Linked DNA regions of Sus scrofa. The protein of the gene in region 1 interacts with the protein of each later gene in a pairwise test. Links are inferred from orthologs where the notes say so. Each region holds a gene or a part of one and is shown on either strand. Other genes may lie near its edges. The genes, in order: GOPC, RNF183 and FOSL2.

Evidence for each region.
Region 2: the proteins of GOPC (region 1) and RNF183 interact in binary tests that used the Homo sapiens proteins (3 or more experiments, as listed by UniProt). The two-hybrid records come from large-scale screens. The link is inferred for Sus scrofa from reciprocal best matches to the Homo sapiens genes GOPC and RNF183.
Region 3: the proteins of GOPC (region 1) and FOSL2 interact in a two-hybrid assay, tested with the Homo sapiens proteins (2 studies listed by BioGRID and IntAct). The two-hybrid records come from large-scale screens. The link is inferred for Sus scrofa from reciprocal best matches to the Homo sapiens genes GOPC and FOSL2.

Annotation. Positions count from the first base shown.
Region 1 is NC_010443.5:44,273,759-44,277,408, reverse strand, and holds part of GOPC (Golgi-associated PDZ and coiled-coil motif-containing protein), read right to left. Parts: intron 2,473-3,650; coding exon 2,377-2,472; intron 847-2,376; coding exon 682-846; intron 1-681.
Region 2 is NC_010443.5:253,932,088-253,935,737, forward strand, and holds part of RNF183 (RING finger protein 183), read right to left. Parts: intron 1,834-3,650; 5' UTR 1,506-1,833; coding exon 1,379-1,505; intron 1-1,378. UniProt on the Homo sapiens protein: Acts as an E3 ubiquitin ligase catalyzing the covalent attachment of ubiquitin moieties onto substrate proteins. Triggers apoptosis in response to prolonged ER stress by mediating the polyubiquitination and subsequent proteasomal degradation of BCL2L1.
Region 3 is NC_010445.4:110,840,205-110,843,954, forward strand, and holds the start of FOSL2 (fos-related antigen 2), read right to left. Parts: upstream 2,513-3,750; 5' UTR 1,488-2,512; intron 1,462-1,487; exon of another isoform or gene 579-1,461; intron 1-578.

The DNA.
Region 1 (3,650 bases):
TCTACCCTGGCATACTACACTGATAATCTAACAAACATCTCAATGTACTAATGAACACCTCTCTAATTCTGTCAACCCTATTCTTGAAGGAAAAAACCAAAAAAAAAGCATCTTAAGTACTCTGGATACGAAATATGATCCCTGGATATGAATCTGAACTCTATAATGTATTTGTTCTGCAACGCTGAGTAAATCATTTAATTTCTAAGAAGCTTAGTCCACTTATTTTAAATAATAAAGTTGGGCTAAATGATTTCTAAGGACCCTTCAGTTCTAACATTTATGACTTTAAAGTTGATCCACTTCTAGTACTGTTTGTTCTGTAGCACTTCATATTTGTACAGTGTTTTAGTCATTAGTGATGTTCTGTTTCTAAGTTTTGAACACTTTATATACATTAACATACTTATTAATCCTTACAGCTCTCAGATAAAGACACTGCAGCACAAAGAACTTAAGTAACATACTCAAAGGTATACAACTGTAAAGAAAAGCAAATAAAAATTTTTTCCAGTAAATCTGGTTGAATATCTTTTATAAAAGCTCAAGTCAAAGGAAACTAGTATCTATATATAAACACTTTACTACCTGAGAAACCTCCTAGGAAAGTATAAGGCATTCAATAGATTCAAAAAGGTAACAACTGATAGATCCAATTTTAGTTACATAAAGAGAACTTACTTGCTGGGAAAGAATGGTTACAGCTTCTTTATGCTTTGTGTCCCTTAGATTAACTCCATTAACAGCCAGAATTGCATCTCCAACATGCAGCCCTCCACATCTGTCAGCAGGTTGCCCTGGGTGGATCTCAGAAATGAGGATTGGAACGCCATGTTCCTTTCCGCCCTAACCAGGGGGGAAAAAAAAAAAAAAAAAAAGGCAGTAAATTAGTTCACCTTTGTGTAGTCAGACTATTCTGATAAATATTTTCCTATAGACCTATTCCAATAAGCACCTATACCGTCTCTATAAATGCTGAAACACTACTTGCTACTTAAGTAATGATAAATCAAATTGTTATGAATATCAAAGAGTTACCTCTAAGTAAAGTGATTAATATCATACATGTGCTTCTTAAAATGCATTCCAGAGCCAAAAGAAAAAAACAAAACAAAACTGAAAAACAAAAAACCAAAACAAACCTACAACCCAATTGGCTGAGCTCTCTTAAACATAAATAAAAATATCTTAAGTACTAGTAGTCCACAGCACTATTAGAATTTATCAGCTCTAAGTCACTATGAATAGTAAGACAATTACTTTATGTACCACAAAAGTAATTACAATATGAACCTCAATTTCACAGGTGTTAAAATGTGAAAAAATGTGCAAGCAAAATCATTGAAATGAGTACTTGATACATTTTACTTTCTAGCTTGCAATCATAATTGTGTGTGTATATATCTTAATTTTTCCTACTAAAACTTAATGCTCTTTGAGGGAAATGTATTCAAAAAGGGAAGTATTCAATAAATACCCATTATTTCTTTATTGTAAGAAACATTTCTACATTAAGCAATGCCAGAAAGCCAATGAACTTATGCAGTACCTAAATACAAAGCCATCTTATTCATTCATCTGGAACAAAGCACTGAATGGCAAAATGACTCTAAACATATGTATTTTATGTTGTCCAAGACAACAGTTTGTAAAGGCATCAACTTTAAAAAAGAAGAATGTCTGGACCCAAGAGCCACTGAAATCTGATAGAAATGAAACAAGAGATAGTAAGAAATACTCTAGAGAAAGGAACAGTACTGGCTGGAGCCATTTAGCACAGAAGAAAACAGTCATATCAATTCCCAAAAGCTCCTCCTACAGGCAGCACAGAACTAAATGACTTGAGTCATAATGAAAAAGATAAACAATGATTTCTAAAGTAATACTTTTACTACTTCACGGTTATTAGGAATATTTACGTACCCCTCAAAAAAGGTTTACACGAAAGTGTTGGTACCCACAGGGATAAATTCAGTTATTTAGAAAATACATTCAGGAGTTCCCGTTGTGGCGCAGTGGTTAACAAATCCGACTAGGAACCATGAGGTTTCGGGTTCAGTTCCTGGCCTTGCTCAGTGGGTTAAGGATCCGGCATTGCCATGAGCTGTGGTGTAGGTGGCAGACATGGCTCAGATCCCTTGTTGCTGTGGCTCTGGTGTAGGCCGGGAGCTACAGCTCCAATTAGACCCCTAGCCTGGGAACCTCCACATGAGGCGGAAGCGGCCCTAGAAAAGGCAAAAAGACAAAAAACAAAACAAACAAACAAACAAAAAAGAAAGTACATTCAGAATACTTTACTTCCCGATGATGTCCAAAAAAGGGGCATGATTATAATAGATAACTACAGAAAAGGAGACTGGAAGCACTACTTCTTACTGTAATTGAAATGCCAAGGCCTTCATGATCTTCCTTAAGAAGAAGAACTTTTCTAATTGGTCCAACTCCTTGGCTTTTCTTTAAAGAGTCTTGATCCTTATTGAGTGAAAAAAGAAAAAAATTAGTACCACATAAGTAATAATCCAAACAGAGTAATCCATAGTATTACAGCTTGCTTTTAGAAATATTTATTAATTTCCTATAATAGATACACAGTACAGTGTTAAGAAAGTCATTAACAGATAAAATGGAAAAGCAAAAATAGTTGTTCTGTTAATATGGTGAAATGTACAGATGATTTTTCTCACCCCCTTGTTAATTTCTTTAATACTGCTACAACTCTTTTTAAATTGAAGGACATTACAAAAGAAATTATTGCCAGGAATTAATTGATAAATAAATATCCTCAATAAGTAAGAGTAGGTAACTTTATCTTCATAGGAAAATATCCTAAAGATCTATATCCATTTCAACTGATTTGTAGAACTGAAAAACAAAATGCCAGCTGGATCATTAATTACTTTTTCATTCCTTTGAGTTCTGGAGTCTACCTCTTAAATAAAGGACCTTGCTCCATTAATAATTCTTTCTTGGGTAACTATACTCTTTCCTTCTCTACAAGCTCCTTCTTAATTCAGCTACTTCCTAATTCAAGCCTCATACAGCTTTAAAATACTGACCATGTACAAACAGAAAATAAGACAAATAAAAACTCCTCCATCACCCATTATCTTCTTTACCTACTCTCCTCCCTCAATCTTTCCTTAACCTTCACACAAAGCTAATCCTAGCTACAATAGCTTCCTGGCCTCCCACATTCAGTACTCCAACCCTGTAATTAGGGTTTTGCCCCTACCTGCTCCACACAAACTGGCTTCCCTACAGTCACTGGTAACCAAGACGGCTATTTCCAATGAATCCTTTATAGTCACTACCTTATTTGAACCTTACAGAAAGCTGATAGTGTTCATTACATCCCATCCCTGAAACCCTGTCTTTTCTATTACACTACTTTTCTAGATGCCCTGTATCTGACAGCCCTACCTCAGGCTCTTCCTTTGGTGATTCATGTCCTTCTTCTCCTACTCCGTAAAAGTCTCCTTACGTCTTTTTACTTTCTATATACTTTCCCTGAGTGACTTAATCAATTCCATGATTTTAATTTTTATAAAGGAGGATTTACCTAATACCTTCAATTCAGAGTTCCCTCTAGAATTCCAGAGTCACATATCCAATTGGATATAACTTGGCTGCACCACTGGCACCTCAAACAC
Region 2 (3,650 bases), about 210 Mb from region 1:
CCTGATTCAGCAGGTCCCCCACTGGGAATCTATCCTATGGAAATAATCTAGGACCTGTGTGAAAATTTGATGAGAGAGTTGCCCATCAAAGACTGCGCTGATGGTGAAAAGTTGAAAACTGGCAATTATCCAATAGCAGGAGGACCCTGATTAAATAGGTTCTGCTCAGAGTTCCCTGGTGACCTCGTGGTTAAGGATCTGGTGGTGTCACTACTTTGGCTCCAGTTCAATCCCTGGCCTAGGAACTTCCGCATGCCGAGGGCATGGAAATACGTTCATGACATGTCATTAAGTGAAAAGAACCAGTCATAAAACCATATTACAATCCAATCCAACTTTTCAATAGATGTGTGCAATGGAAAATATGTCTAGAAAATCAAACACCAAAATGTCAACAGAGGTTATCTCTGGGGGTAGGATTATAGGTTGGTTTGTTTTTAATTGTCTTATCTGAAAATTCTAACTTTACTGCAGCATGCCTGTATTACTACCCTTCAAGAGCTCCCTCCCCACAAAGCAGACTTACATTGTCTAAAGTTCCACGGCCAAAGCTGTAAAGGGCCATTCAAGAGGAGAAGATCACTGTTGCATCGGCACCTGGGCCCTTATCTGCCATGGGCCCCTCAGGCCTTGCTGTGGTTTCAGACTCTGGCCACTTATCCACCCACCCCTCACCCTCAAGCCAGGACATCCCAATACCACCCCCACGGGTATACAGCCTTAGCCTGTGAGCGGGTCAGTCAGCCAAATATCAACTGTCTGTAGCATCACTGCAACCCTTTTGACCTCCAGAGGGGAGAGGTGAAGAACGAGTATTTTTACAGCACTTCCCAGTTTACCAAGGTCCTCAGTCCCGGCCAGGGTCTTAAGTGTGGTAACCTACAACTAGACAGTGTAATTGCCTTTTACAACTTTTTTCCATCTGCCTAAACCATTTGATCCTTTAAAACACCTTCTGAAGGAAGCAGGATCAGGAGTTGAAAGTGTACAGTTTTGGAACCAGACTTCTTTGCTGTGAGGTCTTAGACAAATGGCTTAACCACTCTGAGCTTCATTTTCCTCTGTAATATAGGCTTATGATCCCACCCTATGAACTTGCTGCGAGGAAGGGAGAATGTCGTGTTATGTGCCCAGCAAAGCACAGCAGATGCTCAATAAGTAGTTAGCATGATATTTTTACACCCATTCTATACACAGGAGCATCAAGGCTCAGAAGGGTGAAGTGACTTGCCCAAGGCTTCACAGCTAAAGAATGGCTGAGCTTGAAAGCTGCCTCCAGGAGCCCTGACTCCCAGGCTGGTGTGCACCTGTTGGATGCTGCCTCTCTGGACGGCTGGGTTCTGTGACCTGACCCTCCAAGACCCTCCCAGCTCCTTACCTGCACCCTCGGAATCTCGCCCACTTCCTCCTCCTCCTTTCCCGAACGCAGCCCTGCAGCCTGTGCTCTGGGCTCTGGCTTCTCCAGGCCTGGTTTCCAGGCAGTTGTGGGCGGGTCTCATTTGCATGGTCTTCAGGCAGCTCTTGGCCAGCTCTCCAGCTCAGGTTTTCCTCCTCTCCCCTTTGCTGACTTTGGACTGTCTGGGCTTACGGGGGACAGACAGCCTGGAAGCTTTGGTTACATCTTCCTCCTGTGAGTCACTCTTGCTTTTTCTCTAAGGGGGTCGAAGTCCACTCATCTTTGCAGGCCTCTGTTCTGCGCTGGGCTGGTCTCCTGCCATCCCCTCTGACTACACCGCCTTGGCTCACACATTGCCTTACGCTGGCGGGCAGGCAGGGCGCCGCTGAAGTCACTTCTGCTCCTCAGCTTGGATGGATCCTTCCCTATTCCGAGCCCTACAACCAAAATACAAAGGGCGCTTGTAAAACATTAAGAAAAGGCAAACAATCCAATAGGGAAACAATCAGGGGAGACTCGTTTAAGCATAAACCTGAAGAGCCTGGGTTCCCAATCAAGTCAGATTTCTGGGTCAGAGGCAAGTCTTCGCTCAGAATCCAGACTCTACTTACTAGCAATGGAGATGTGAGCAACTTCACTTCTCAAATATTGGTTTTCTTACCTGAAAATGGGTGTAATAATTTTACCTATTTGCTTGGCAGGTGAAATGAGACAATGCATGCAGAGATCATAACACAGTGCCTGGTACACAGGAACATGCAGTAAATATTAATTATTATGATGTGATCAGGCAAATCACAGAAAAAGAAATACAAATGGAATATATTTGTAGTTATTCAACCTCATTTACAATTAGAGAAATTCAAATTTAAATTTAAATAAGATACTGCTATTTTTCCTATCAGACTGAAAAACATTAAAATAATAGTAGCTCTGGAGTTCCCACTGTGGTGCAGTGGGTTATGAAATCGACTAGCATCCACGAGAATGCGGGTTCAATCCCTGGCCTTGCTCATTGGGTTAAGGATCCAGCCTTGCCCTGAGCTGCAGTGTAGGTCACAGACACAGCTCGGATCCCATGTTGCCGTGGTTGGCAACTGCAGCTCCAATTGGACCCCTGGCCTGGGAACCTCCATATGCCGCAGGAGCAGCCCTAGAAAAGGCAAAAAGACAAAAAAAAAAAAAAAAGACAAAATTATCAACAATTTCTAATAAAATGACCAGAAATTTGCTTTCAAAAAATAAACAAAATAATAGTAGCTAAAACCCCACTATTATTATTGAAAGTAATGATAGTTTTCTACTATGTGCTTTAGTAAATGCTTCTGACCTATGACCTCCAGACACTCCCAAGAGGCACAATATGGAACACATATAGTAAGACTTGTCCTTACTCTTCCATAGATAAGGAATCAGAAGCTCAAAGCGAGTAAGGGATTTATTTGCCCAAGAGCTCTTGAGAAGCAACTTAAAAGAGCCAGACTGCAAATCTGGCTCTGAAATCTGTGCCATTGCCTCACTGTCTTCCCCTAAAGATACATTTTTGTTCCATCTCCTATTCTCAGGACTTACCATCCTCTTTTTATTCCTTTATTGACCATTTAAATGGAGTGTAGAGAATAAACAAATAAATGCATTTGACTGGTGATGGAATCAAATGCCCTAGTCCCTTTATTTTGTTTTAAACATTTTATATTTTATTTAAAAATTTTTATTTTTAGTTATTTATTTGGCCATGCTGCAGCATGCAGAAGTTCTTGGGCCAGGGATTGAATATGAACCACAGCAGTGACTCAGACCATTGCAGTAACAACACCTGAGCCTTAGTGACTAGGCCACCAGGGAACTCCCAACACTTTTAATTTTAAAAATGGTAATATATTTACATATTCATCATGTGAAAGGTTTGAGTTTGCAGTGAAAATGTTCTTCTCCCAACTACCCGTTTCCCTGAAAATTAAGGTATTATACTATAAATTTCTCATCTGTCCTTCCAAAGAAGCTTTATGAATACACCAAACTCCTATGATGAGGTGTCTGTGTATTCCTTTTCCTCCTTTGTACACTAAAGTGCATATGGTATACATGGTTTTACACCTTGTTTTAACTTGATGTATCTGAGACATCATTTTGTATTAGTATATAATGAGCTTTCTCAGGTGTTTAATGGTTGTATCATAGTTCATTGAATGGCTGTATCAGAAATTACTTAACCACTCCCTTATTGATCTAATCCCTTCATTTTAAATATATC
Region 3 (3,750 bases), on another chromosome or scaffold:
GGAAATATTTTTCATGCTTCAAGTTCCTGCCATATACAAGAACAGAGGTTTTTAACAAAGAGTTATCTGCACCCCCTTCCCCCCAAGTCCCTGGGACTCCTGGCCATGTGTTAAGATCAAACTTTACCAAGTGAGAGAGGAGAAGAAAGCCCTGTGTGGGGTGGACAGCAACAAACTGCTCAGGAATATTAGACCCCACCAACAAAGCAAGCTGGAAAAAATAATATTCACTCGCCCAAGGTAAAACCAGAGACCCCTCTTACATGGTTTGGTCCACTGAGACGCCACTGGAGGAGGAGGGCCCATCCCTAACTGCCAGGAAAAGTCTCCCTCTCCCCGTAAAGGAAGCTAAGAGAAATAAAGTGATTACAGGTTTTATCTGGTATGTAATAAAGTTACCTTGAGCCTGGGTGGGGTCGTAGCCCAGACTTGTGAAGTAACAAAAACCTCTCACGTCAGTCCTTAGGACCACAGAACAGCTCTGCTCCAAGTCAGAGAGATGATGGGAAAACCCTCCCCTCTTCCCACCCACCCCCCAAGAGTGGACAGGCCAAGAAACTCATCCAAAGCTGAGTTACCTTGCCAATCCCTCCGGTTTGAAAGGTGCCTCACTCAAGCTGCTGGGCCGAATGGGCAAGCATATATGCAAGAACCCCGTGCAGCAGTTATTACTAATTGCAAAATCCTCATGTGTTGCAGCATGCTAGGAATTAGCCAACAGCTGCTTTTTGCTTTGGTAATGAGGCCCCATTACACTCTGCTGGACTGAGTTCTCTTCCTTCTTCCTAGCACTGGTTTCCTGTCTGATTTTCTTCCAAAACAGGGAATTGCCTCCGCTTGCATCCTGGGCTCAAAGCCCTAGTGACACAGATTATTCAATCGGGGCACTGATGTCCGGTCGGACTTCCCATCCAGGCCCCAGGGTCTGAGCAAAGCCAGGCGGCGACGTTGTAACATTTCAGTGATGACTGCCATAGAAACAGCAGCCAAAAGAGCAGATGAGACATCAGAAGATTCCCTTCCCATCGGAGAACGGAGATGGGGGGGGGGGGTGCTGTGGAAATGGAGACTGAGGGAATGGGTATAAATGACTCCCACCCGCTGCTTAATGATATCTGGATTCAATACAAACCACCAATGGGGCTGGAGAGCAAACAAAAATCAAACACTTTGGGACAAGACTTGAAATGCATCACCTTAGTGCTCAGTATTAGGGGTGCTCTGACCGTACCCTCAATGCACCAACCAGGTTCTCTACAGTGGGGTGCTAAAGGGGACACCGGGGCAGGTAAAAAGAAGACACAGAAAAGCCATTTTAAGGACTCACCAGGTATGGGGAACCACTTTGGAATAAGAGACCCCTCTTCAGATACCAAAGAGAGCCCCCTTTCCATTTTATTCTCCCTCAGGGTCCCTCCTCCCCAGAAGTCCACCCCAGGCCCTCCTGGTTGGCTGGCTTATAGAAGCCAAAGCCATCATCATCTTACCAGCGCAACTCGAGACAGCCAACTTGCCTAGAGACTCTGCAGATCCTGACCGAGGCGGGCTTCAGGTTCCAGCAACCTTGTTGGTTAAGCCAGCTCCCTCCCAAGAGTGGGGGTCGGGGGGTGGGGGGGAGTGGTGGCTGCAGAGGGCAGGCACCCCACGAACACCACCAACCCAGCAGCACCTTTCTGGTATTTATTCCGGTATTTATAGACACACAGATCTCAGGCAAAATCCCTCTGGTGCAAACCAGTCCGCCTGCTTTAGAAACAAGTTGTTTTCCGGCTTCCAGAACCACCCAGGAGCCTAAGCGAGGTCTCATCCACCGCCCCCACCGCCCCCCCACCGTCCCCTCTCTGCAGGCGTCCTGGCCCCAGATATTCCCAGACCCCCAAGGCGCCCCTTCTGGTCGGCTGTGCAGGCTCCTTCTGTGACCCTAACAGGAGATGGATGGGCGCGGGGGAGAAAGGCGCAGCCTGAGCCAATCAAGGCTGACCTCCTCCTTCCTGACCTTCGCACCTGATTCCCAGAGCGACAACCCTCGCCCTCGCTCCGGATTACTTGAAGGAGCCCATTTTTCCCAGTCCCCAAGTTCTTTCAGAAATGAACGAAGACCGAAGGAGAGAGGGCTTTTTCGCAGGAATAAGGTCCCTGGATGTCGGGAGGTGCCCGTGGGTGCAAAGATTTTTTTTGGAGGGGGGTCTAACCACGGGGTTCCTGCGAGAGAGGTACAGGGTCCTGGGGAAAAGGCCCTGCAATTCCAGGAGCTTGTCTGTATAGGATGTAGTGTGAAGGCGAGGGTTTGTTGGCTCTCCAGCCCACTCGCCGCTCTAGTTTAAAAAAAAAAAAAAAAAAAAAAAGTGTTGGCGGGGGATGGGGGAAGGTTAAAGGAGGTGTCAGGAGGACAAGATGAAAATCTAGAACTTACAATGGAGGCCGCAAGAATTTTCTCGCCAAATCAAGAAAGGGAAAAGAAAGGGGGGGAAAAAAGGCAGTCCTGGCGAGAGGAAGGCGGGGGGTCCACCCGCGGCGCCAGGTGCACCCGGGGCCCGCACCTACCTGCTGGCCGCCGCCGCCGCTGGAGTAGGACTCGGCGTGCGCAGGAGAGCCGCTGCTGCCCCGGGACGAGGTGTCAAAGTTCCCGGGATAATCCTGGTACATGATCCGCGGTGGGGGCCCGAGAGGAAACAGGGTGTTTTTCTTCCCCCGCCCTCGCCGCGGCCGCGCACCGGCAGCTGCGCGCTGGCTCCCTGCCGGCCGCGCCTGGGGCTCTAAGCGTCGCTCCCGGGCTTCTCCCCCTCGGCGGCGGCACTCCGAGAACAGTGCCCCCCGAGCGCCGAGCGCTGCACTTCTTTCCTGCTCTACGAGCGCCGCGGGACCAGTTGTCCACCCGGTCCCTCCCTCTAAAAAGTCCGCGCGTCCCTCGGTCCCTCCCCTGCGCGCGCCCTCCTGCCCCCGCGCGCAATCAGAGCCCAGCCGGGACCGCCGGCTCAATCAAAAATTGGAAATTAAAAAAAGAATAGGAGCCCGGCGAGTCAAGCCTGCCAGGTCTGGGGGCCCCCAATTTCAGACAGGGCAAAAAAGGAAGAAAAAAAAAAAAAGGCGAAAAGAAAGGCTGCCCGCTTGGAGAAACTTCTATTTCCTCCTTTTAGAAAAGGAGCTGAGAATAAACTTCCTGTGGCCGACTCGCCGCCGGAGTTTCGAGCGGCAGGGACACTTGATTAGGTGAAGGCAGCCCGCCCCGCGGCCCGTGGGGTTCCAGCTGAGCTGACGCGGAGAGGGACGCGGGCCCGCTCCCCTTGCGGCGGCTCCGGCGCCCGGACCTGCACCCCTTCCCCGGCGCCCGCTCCCGGACGGGCCCGCCTCGCCCGTCCGCGCCTCTCTCTCTCCCTCTCTCTGTCCCCGCCGAGCGCCGCTTGCTTGCTCGCTGGTTCGCTCGGAGCCCCAGCGCTCTGCCCGAGATGAGTCACTACAATGGCACGAGTTCAACTCCACTCTTTATTCTCCAGCCCCTGTACCTCACGTCAACCCAAGACTCCACCTTGCGGGAGGAGCGCTAGGGGAGGCGGAGGGAGAGGGCCGAGGAGGAGGAGGGGGAAGAGGAGGAAGAGGCGCGGGAGGAGGCGGGCGCAGCACTCCCCTCCCTGCCCGGGCTCCCGGCCGCGCTGACGCCAGCCGCACACCCTGCGCGAGGAAGGAAGGAGGTGGAGGGGGTGGGAGCGCTGTGAGCGCGGTTTGGGGGACCCGAGGCAGCCCGGCCCTTCC